Linked DNA regions of Arabidopsis thaliana. The protein of the gene in region 2 interacts with the protein of the main gene of each other region in a pairwise test. Each region holds a gene or a part of one and is shown on either strand. Other genes may lie near its edges.

Region 1 (4,431 bases), on a different chromosome or scaffold from region 2:
TTCTTATCTTTAACCCTCGGAACATTCAAAGAATGATCCTCTCGCTTGCTTTAAATTTATGTGGGTCTCATTGCTGAATATTATTCGTATGTTGATAGGGTGAATTTTATATACATTAGAGAATGAAAGATTTAAGTCACAAAATAAGTTAATCGTTGGTTTTTTTTTTAATATACAAAACTGGTTGAGGATATATTTCTTTACCAATCTGCTCAATCTATTAGCCCTAACTCATAAAATAAACCAGAGCATCTCCATCCATACAATTTTTAGAGTTTCTTTTGATAAAGATAATATAAATAATTAATAAATGAGGAGAGAGAATGACAAAAAATGAAGAAACGTTTCTTGAGAAATTTTGGAATAATCAGTGAAAGACTATTTCTATAAGTGTTTGCTTATAATTGAATATTTTTTTTAAAAAAAAATAATTACAAAATTAAATTACAGTAATTTTTTATTTTATTTTAAAACCTTTTAAAGTATCTTACAGATGAAGATGACCTAATAGTGGAATACTGCCAATTAAAATTTAAAATAGCAATGGTACTAGTAGTTAGCAGCAGCAGCAGCTAATGAATGATTTTTCAAAATAAAGCAATCTCATATTCGGATGGATACAAATTCTGATAACCAACACAATAAAAGTACTAAAGTTAACAACTCGTTAACATTATAATTATTACATCACCATTTATAATCCATTTACAACGAAACAACACACTTCAGACCAAAAAAAAAAAACACAAAAACACAAGCATATGTGACAACACGAACTACATTCATGATTCATGCATGGTCATCATCACCATCATTATTTATTATTATTACCATCAACATCATCAAGGTAACATATCCATAGACATCATATTGACATGGTCACGTGGGATTCATCGATTATGAGTTTCACTCATCCAAAATAGTTATCAATTTCGTCAAACAAGTCTTGACGTTCATAGACCGGCGTCACATCAACGACGTCGTTTTCATCCTCGTGAAGAAACCTCGTAAGTTCTTTCATGAACGCAGTGTTTTCAACACAAGACTCCTCCAACATCATGAAATCTTCATCATTCAGAAATGTGGAGAACCCGATAGTATCCTCATCATCAACGTTGTTATTACCAACGAAATTATCGCAGTACATTAGAGGATTGTTAACGGAGGAATCAGAGAACGTGGACGAAGAACACGTCAGATTAACGTTACCATCAACGTCAAAGTTCGATGAAACTGGTGTTGTTGCAACGGTCCCATGGCAGAGAAGATTCGAGGTTGGTGCGAAGGAAGAACTCGTTGACTTAACTGATTCAGAGTCAACGGAAACACTTGTAGTTGTAGTATTAGTAGTGTGACTAGTAGAAGCAAGTGGGCCTCCACTTCCGATAATCTCAGACAGAACACTCTGATTGATTCTCTTTCCGAACCTATTAGCTACTTTGTTCAAGAAACTAGCCGATGATAATCCAAAATTCTTGTTGTTCTTCTTCGCCTTGTCATTATCAAGATCATGGTCACTAGTTGTCAGATTAACATTTTGTTTCTCCGGGAGGTTTTCTGATTTGTCGGTACCGGAGGTTATGCCCTTGTGTGTAACTGGATCAATACCTTTCTTGATCAAACGTTTTTTGATATGAGTGTTCCAGTAGTTCTTGATCTCGTTATCGGTTCTTCCTGGTAGTCCACGAGCTATAGCAGACCATCTGATTAAAACCACATATAAGATTACAATATTAGTAAATGTTAATGCAAACAAAAAATAAGTATAAAATGTAGAGGTAGAGAGACTAACTTGTTGCCGTGAAGGGCGTGAAGAGAGATGATTGAACGTTCTTCGTCTTCAGTGAACTCTCCTCTTTTGATGTCAGGTCTAAGATAATTGGCCCATCTCAGTCTGCAGCTTTTGCCGCATCTCTTGAGTCCTATCCAATTAGAAGAATTATTTAAGTAAAATAATTGAGCAATAATGACCAATAAAGGTCCAACATTGAATATTCAAACATGACGGAATAAACATAATAAAAAATAATACATACCAGCTTTTTCGGGGAGAGTTCGCCATCCACCTTCACCGTGGCGGTTAAGGTAAGAGAGAAGCTTCTGATCTTCCTCGGGAGTCCAAGCTCCTTTCTTTAACCCTAGTTCAGCTTTGCAACACGGTGTCCGCACCATTCTTGATTCTTCAAACTTAGCTTTCTTGATCGAGTTCAAAGGGGGTTGTTCTCAAGTGAAACAAAGAGGGACAAAAAAACACAAAAAAAAAAACTGAGAGGTGAAACAAAGTGTGAAATGGGGCGTATGATCATAGAGATTGAGCACAAGATCTTTTGATTAAAGAATTCAGACATCGGTAGATTCTTCGAATAGACATCTTGTTCTTTTGTGATACTCGAGATCGTTATAACATTGAACGAGCAGAGGAGAAGAGAGATCTAGTTGCTCTGTTTTCTTACCACAAAGAGAGACACAAAGAGAAGGTTTTATAGAGAGAATCTTTTTTTCTCTAAAGAGAACTGTTTGTGTTACACTTTGCAAAGTGGGAAACTTATAGGAAAGAGCCCATCTCTATTTATGCTTGCCTGAGGCTGTACGTGTGGCTGCTGCCAACGTCGTCGTTTAAATATGACTGACACATGGCTCATTATGATTCCTTAACGCAATTTTTTATAATCGGATTATTACATAAAAGAAAAACTGCTAACTTTTGTCAGTGGACATTTTGACACTAGACTTTTGATCTTTCTTAAACTAATTTATTTTATTTTGATTGTCAATAAAAAAATACTACGAAGACATCTATTATATAATATCATTTTTCATAATCCCATGCATAAGAACCGCCACATCTGATATGATATTGATAGTAGCAAAAAAAGGGGAAAAAATAGAATGAATATAGCAAAGGTTGCTAAAAAAAAAGAATGAATATCAAGCATGCAAAATATGTAACGTAAAATTGTCTTGCCTATGTAAATAGCTAATTACGTATCAATTTATTTTGAAATCTATGTCTGCTATGCAAATAGTTTTGATTATGCAATCCAAAATATAAAATTTATTGAAGAATTATAATACGGCGCCGGCAGGTCCGGAACACCAATTAAATTAAAATCCTGTTGAACTTTCTCTTCGATCTTTGGAGATATTTTGTATTGACCCGATTCTTGACCAAAATTTTATTTTAGTTTTTTGGTATTGACCGTCGGTCCAAAGTATATATGAAACTATAATTTCTCAGCAAGTTTTTAATTTTATAACGAGTAAAAAAAAAGCTTTATTGAAATTGGCAACAAATTTTAACCAATGTAAAAAAACATTTTGAATTTATCAGAAGAGTTAAAAAATGTCTATCGAAATGAAAAACCACAAAGGTACGTTTCCATGACAGAATGAATTCAACTTTAAAACTTGGAGTGCGAGGACTTTTCAAAATACGACTGAACTCTTAGTATTTTTTTCTCTCAAATATTTAAATATGCTTAAACAATCATAGAGACGACAAAATTATAAAGAAACAATTGGCAAACTAGCACACGAATTGAAAATTCGAGGAAGGTAAGGTAGAGAGGTACAACACAAAAGTAGTCGTATTTGAACTAGATTAAATTAAAGCAACAACTTGGTCACTCAAACACTGGACTTGGACATATCGATATCCATTATACCAAGGAAAAATCTAAGGTACAAAGAAAGAGATAAGCTATTTTCTTTTTTCGTACAACTAATTTCCACTTTTCTAGTTAGACAGAACCCATTAATTAGTCAACATTGTGTTTTTTTTTCTCTCTAATATGATATGAAAGTACATACGGTTATGAAGAAAGCTAACCAGCTTGGTTTACATCAACCCAACTCTAAATTCAATGATTCATGCTAAAAGTATGACAACTAAATTACAGTAGTTCTTTAGTACAAATACTAAAAAATAATCTCACCTATGTTGTTGAATTTTTTCTAAACCTCCGGCAGAATTATCAGCGGCCACGGTGGCAGCTAACTCCATTAGTCGTTCATAGTCAATCTCACTACACTTGTACTTCAGTTTCATACCAGCTTCAATCCATGATCTGATACAAATAACAGATTGTGTGCTATCATGAGGCATGCAATACTTCTGCTTATCAATCTCTTCTCCTTTACCACAAAAGATCTCTTCCGGTGCAGCAGAAGTCGCCTGAACCGCAAGGAAATCCCGAGCCATGTTGGAAAGTCGCGGGTATCTTCCACTGTTTACCTTCCACCAATCAAGCACATCAGTCTGCATTGGAACTATAGACTCTGATAAGTACTGAGTCAGTTCATCAACAACATTGTTACTCATACTTCCTCTTCTTTTCCTTCTAGCGATTTCCTCTGCAAATGAGATATTTCCTCCTCCTTCATCTACCTCCTGAGGACGATACCCGCTAGTCATTGAAGATGTGAAATGAG
Region 2 (5,480 bases):
GCGGAAGAATGAAAGGACGTTAATGAACAAAGATGTGAATGCCAAAAGATTGAAGAAAGATGTGAAAAGGTGAGTTCTCAAAGGTTAGAGTGGAGTGAGGAAGACGAGATCCGTGTGCTACAAGGTATGATGGATTTCAAAGCTGTAACAGTACAAAATCTTTCTAATGATATGAACGTAACTTACGAAATCCTTTAGGAATATATAAGCGTTGATGTTTGTAGCTATGCATTTGTAGAGAAGATGAAGAGTATGAAAAAGAAATTAATGGAGAAAATGAGGATTAACGCTAAAGATTTGTCTTCTTCGGTTCCGAGTTGTTGAAACTTATTTGGGGATGTGATGTGAAATTGGCTTGTTCTATCTTAAGTAAGTTATACTCAACAACAGATTTCACATCATATCTCCAAATCAGTTTTAACAACTCAGAACCGATCGAAGAAGACAGATCTTTAGCGTTAATCCCCATTTTCTCTATTAATTTCTTCTTCAAACTCTTCATCTTCTCTACGAACTCATAGCTATAAACGTCAACGCTTATATATTCATGGAGGAAGTTGTAAGCTCCGGTCATATCATCAGAAGGATTATGCCTTGTTAGAGCTTTGAAATCCATCATACCTTGTAGCACACGATCTCGTCTTTTTCACTTCACTCTAACCTTTGAGAACTTACTTTTCTTGGCATTCACGTTTTTGTTCGTTAACGTTCTTTCGTTCTTCCGTTTCTTTCCAGTTGGCTTAGCTTCACCAGAACCACCACAAACCTCCTTCTTGGACCGGTTGGTATTCGCTTTGTCCATTATCAAAAAATGTTTTAGGTTCTCTGAGAGGAAAAGAGAGCGAGAATTGGTAGAAATTTAAACCAACAAAGCACTTGACTATTTATTTACCTTTTTCTTAGAAATGTGTATTTTTTATTTAATATTCTTTTATAGATTTTATGCTTTTTTGTGATATATATAATTTTGAAAAGAAAATAAATTAAAAGAATTTATATAGTGACATGAATGTTATATAATGAGCCATAATTAAGTCAAACCCAAGATTGGTTCGACAATTCGTTTTTGGTTAAATTGATAGCAAGTGTGGGCGTGAGTGGAGATTCTGTGAAAAGAAGATGGAGTTTGTTGCACACAAACAAGATAAAGATGATTGAAGACAAATGGAGAGTCTTGATGACCAAAGAAGATAAATTTGTGTTGCAAAAGATAGAGCTTTTGCATGAAGTGGTTTCTCTGATCATTTACGTTGAAGCATTTACTCACTAGATGCAAAATGTTTCTTGATTTGCTTTTTTTGTTGGATTTTTCTGTCCAAGTTTTTGCTTTATATTATGTCATTGTTGCTTCTATGTTTAGAATCTGACCTCTATTAAATGTGAAACTTCATTAGTATTTTTGGTTACTATGTTGCTCTTTCGTTGATAACAACTTTGAAATGTTAGTCGCACCAAATTTAGTAAAACCGTTTTCTTATACATGTTACAAAGCTTGCTTGAAGGCTATAACAAAAGATTTCAAAGGGTTTAACAAATTAAACAGATACTAAATTTGTGTTTATTACGGCCCATTAAGAACCCAATTAAGAGCGATATTGGGCTAAGACTGATATTTTAATATTAAACCTATTACGGCCCATTAATAGCCCAATCAATATGTAAACATATGCGTCTTCGTTCCATGTCTCCAATCTTATTTCTTCTTACCCTTTTTTCCAAAATCCAGAAACCCCAGAGAAAGCAAAACCGCGAGCTCTCATGGCTTCCGGCGGCAAAGATTCCGATCGTACCTTAGGGTACATGACACGGAAAGATACAGAAGTCAAGCTTCCAAGACCTACTCGTGTCAAGAACAAAACTCCGGCGCCGATTCAAATAACTGCCGAACAGATATTAAGAGAAGCTCGAGAGAGACAAGAAGCTGAGATCCGTCCTCCCAAGCAAAAAATCACTGATTCCACTGAGCTTTCCGACTACAGACTCCGCCGGAGAAAGGAATTTGAAGACCAGATCCGTCGCGCGAGATGGAACATTCAAGTTTGGGTCAAATACGCTCAATGGGAAGAGTCACAGAAAGATTACGCTCGTGCTCGAAGTGTTTGGGAACGAGCCATAGAAGGAGATTATAGGAACCATACGCTTTGGCTCAAATACGCAGAGTTCGAGATGAAGAACAAGTTTGTGAACAGTGCGAGAAACGTTTGGGATCGAGCTGTTACGCTTCTTCCTCGTGTAGACCAGCTTTGGTACAAGTATATTCATATGGAGGAGATACTTGGGAATATCGCCGGAGCTAGGCAGATTTTTGAACGGTGGATGGATTGGTCACCGGATCAACAAGGTTGGCTCTCGTTTATTAAGTTCGAACTTAGGTATAATGAAATTGAACGTGCTAGAACGATATACGAGAGATTTGTTCTTTGTCATCCCAAGGTTTCGGCTTATATTAGATATGCTAAGTTTGAGATGAAGGGTGGTGAAGTTGCTCGTTGTAGGAGTGTGTATGAACGTGCTACAGAGAAGCTTGCTGATGATGAAGAAGCTGAGATCCTCTTTGTGGCGTTTGCTGAGTTTGAAGAACGTTGTAAGGAAGTGGAAAGGGCTAGGTTTATCTATAAGTTTGCTCTTGATCATATTCCTAAAGGAAGAGCTGAGGATTTGTATAGGAAGTTTGTTGCTTTTGAGAAACAGTATGGTGATAAGGAAGGGATTGAGGATGCCATTGTTGGGAAGAGGAGGTTTCAGTATGAAGATGAAGTGAGGAAGAGTCCTTCCAACTATGATTCGTGGTTCGATTATGTTAGGTTAGAAGAGAGTGTGGGGAACAAAGATAGGATCAGAGAAATCTATGAGAGGGCTATTGCTAATGTTCCACCTGCTGAGGAGAAACGATACTGGCAAAGATATATCTATCTCTGGTGAGTTTTTTCTTTCTCAATTTGGTTTAATGATTTTTGGTAATTACGCATTATCGATTTAGAATTGGAATGTTGGCTTCTTATATTGATCATGGTTTTGATAAGAATGCTAAAATCTTTGAAATTGGTTGTCTTAGGCAGAGATTAGTTCTATCATATATGTCAAGCTTTTAGCACATCCGAGTCATTAAATATATCATATATGAGAACAGAATCTTGCATTCCATGGAAAGCTATTGCTGTTGTATTTTGTTAGCTTATGGTTCTGCGGTTTTCTCAAATACTAATACTGATGTGACTAAATTGTGTAGGATTAATTATGCATTATTTGAAGAGATTGAAACTGAAGATATTGAGCGTACCCGAGATGTTTACAGGTACGCTAAAGTCTATATTCATTTACGTTTTGGTCATGGCTATTTTGTCAAATATCACCTGATAGTTTAAACTAACTAATTTGTCTTTGTCTTACTGAAATTTTCAGAGAGTGCCTTAAGCTTATCCCCCACAGCAAATTTTCTTTTGCCAAAATATGGTTGCTCGCTGCTCAGTTTGAGATAAGGCAATTGAATCTCACGGGTGCTCGCCAGATATTAGGAAATGCGATTGGAAAAGCTCCCAAAGATAAGGTAAGCCTATAAATCGTTTAAACTATGATCGCATTCCTCTCCTTTAGAGACGCAAATGATTTTACTTACCGTGGTGATTTTTGTCTGCAAATAGATATTCAAGAAATACATTGAGATCGAGCTTCAGTTGGGAAACATGGATAGGTGTAGAAAGTTATATGAACGGTATCTTGAGTGGTCTCCTGAGAATTGCTATGCTTGGAGCAAGTATGCTGAACTAGAGAGGTCTCTTGTTGAAACAGAACGAGCTAGAGCTATTTTTGAACTTGCAATATCCCAGCCAGCTCTTGACATGCCTGAGCTGCTTTGGAAGGTAAGTTTTTTAAGTCGAATACATTCATAGAATCGAGATTCCTCAGACTTTTGAAACCAATTGGATAATTGAAATTCTATATTGTTTGTGGCAGGCATACATTGATTTTGAGATATCAGAAGGGGAATTAGAGAGGACAAGGGCTTTATATGAGCGACTCTTGGACCGTACTAAGCATTACAAGGTGTGGGTTAGCTTTGCAAAGTTTGAAGCTTCTGCTGCGGAACTAGAGGAAGACGAGAATGAAGATGAAGACCAGGAAGAAGATGTTATTGAACACAAGAAAGATTGCATCAAACGTGCCAGAGGTAACTTTAAAACTACACATTATATCAGTTTTGATGATTCCTTGCAACATGTTATAACTGTTTATTCTCTCTATATTTCTTCTACTCAGCAATTTTCGATAGAGCCAACACATATTACAAAGACTCCACACCAGAGCTGAAGGAAGAACGAGCTACGCTCTTGGAGGATTGGCTGAACATGGAGAGTAGCTTTGGTAACCTCGGGGATGTTAGTATTGTTCAATCGAAGCTTCCAAAGAAGCTCAAGAAAAGAAAGGCGATCACTAGAGAAGACGGGTCAACAGAGTACGCATTGCGTATATATAATATCTCGATTTTTAATATCTTTCGAATGTGATTAGTTAAATGCTAAAGCTTAACGTGAAAAATTGTTTGAATGTTTAAACAGGTACGAAGAATACATCGATTATTTATACCCAGAAGAATCGCAAACAACGAATCTCAAGATTCTTGAAGCTGCATACAAATGGAAGAAGCAGAAGGTTGCTGCTTCTGAGGATGATTGAGATTAAGCTTTTTTCTTAAGTTATATCAAAAGTCAAAACTGTGAAATGTGTTTTGTATTCTTCCTTAGCTCTTTGTACACATCGTTTGGTTTAGCAGTAATTTTTGTTATCCAAGAACCTAACAAAACTCAAATTTGTCCTGTTATGTTTTGTTTTGGTTCGAATTTTCCGGTTTAGAAATTAATCAGGATACTTCTTCATTCCGGTTTATGTTCTGATCTCTCGGTTTGTGATACGTTTGAAACGGAATCTAGTTTAATCTATATATATACATTTTAGTTTAATCTATATATATATACATTTTTGCTGTGAAATAAATAATGGAGTTGGAACTTATTTATAATCGCTGGCTTATTCAATGCAAAAATTAACTACCAAATCAAAGCAAATCTTATTCAAAACAATATGCTCTTATTCTATGGTCTAATTATTTTTGCTAAAATGGTTAAAATATTTAAAAATTAAATAATCATTTGAAAGAAAACTTTAAATTGATTTAAATTATAAATCTTTTCATAAAAATATTATTAATAAAAAAAAAAAATTCACCGAACATGATTAGATAGTAAGACTAGATGGTAGGGCGTGTTTATAATATTATAATATATAAACTTTATAACAATTAAATAACTATTTGAAAGAAAATTTTTAAATTGATTTGAATTAAATATTTTTTAAATTAAAATATTATTAAAACAAAAATAACAAAATAATGTCTAATTTTACTGAACGGGGTTAGTGGTAGGACGAGTTTGGTCGATAGTATTACGAGACGGTATACCACAAGTGAAATCCATTAGATATGT

What was found. The genes of interacting proteins can lie anywhere in the genome.
Region 1: the proteins of AT5G41770 (region 2) and MYB51 interact in a two-hybrid assay, tested with the Arabidopsis thaliana proteins (one study listed by BioGRID).

What each region holds. Positions count from the first base shown.
Region 1 is NC_003070.9:6,387,506-6,391,936, reverse strand, and holds MYB51 (myb domain protein 51), read right to left. Parts: upstream 2,539-4,431; 5' UTR 2,173-2,538; coding exon 2,037-2,172; intron 1,923-2,036; coding exon 1,793-1,922; intron 1,704-1,792; coding exon 911-1,703; 3' UTR 551-910; downstream 1-550. Other genes in the region: AT1G18560 (BED zinc finger and hAT dimerization domain-containing protein), read right to left, coding at 3,932-4,431. UniProt on the Arabidopsis thaliana protein: Transcription factor positively regulating indolic glucosinolate biosynthetic pathway genes.
Region 2 is NC_003076.8:16,716,263-16,721,742, forward strand, and holds AT5G41770 (crooked neck protein, putative / cell cycle protein), read left to right. Parts: upstream 1-1,683; 5' UTR 1,684-1,758; coding exon 1,759-2,918; intron 2,919-3,229; coding exon 3,230-3,295; intron 3,296-3,402; coding exon 3,403-3,547; intron 3,548-3,641; coding exon 3,642-3,860; intron 3,861-3,954; coding exon 3,955-4,168; intron 4,169-4,257; coding exon 4,258-4,453; intron 4,454-4,556; coding exon 4,557-4,674; 3' UTR 4,675-4,960; downstream 4,961-5,480. Other genes in the region: AT5G41765 (DNA-binding storekeeper protein-related transcriptional regulator), read right to left, coding at 290-621, 676-802.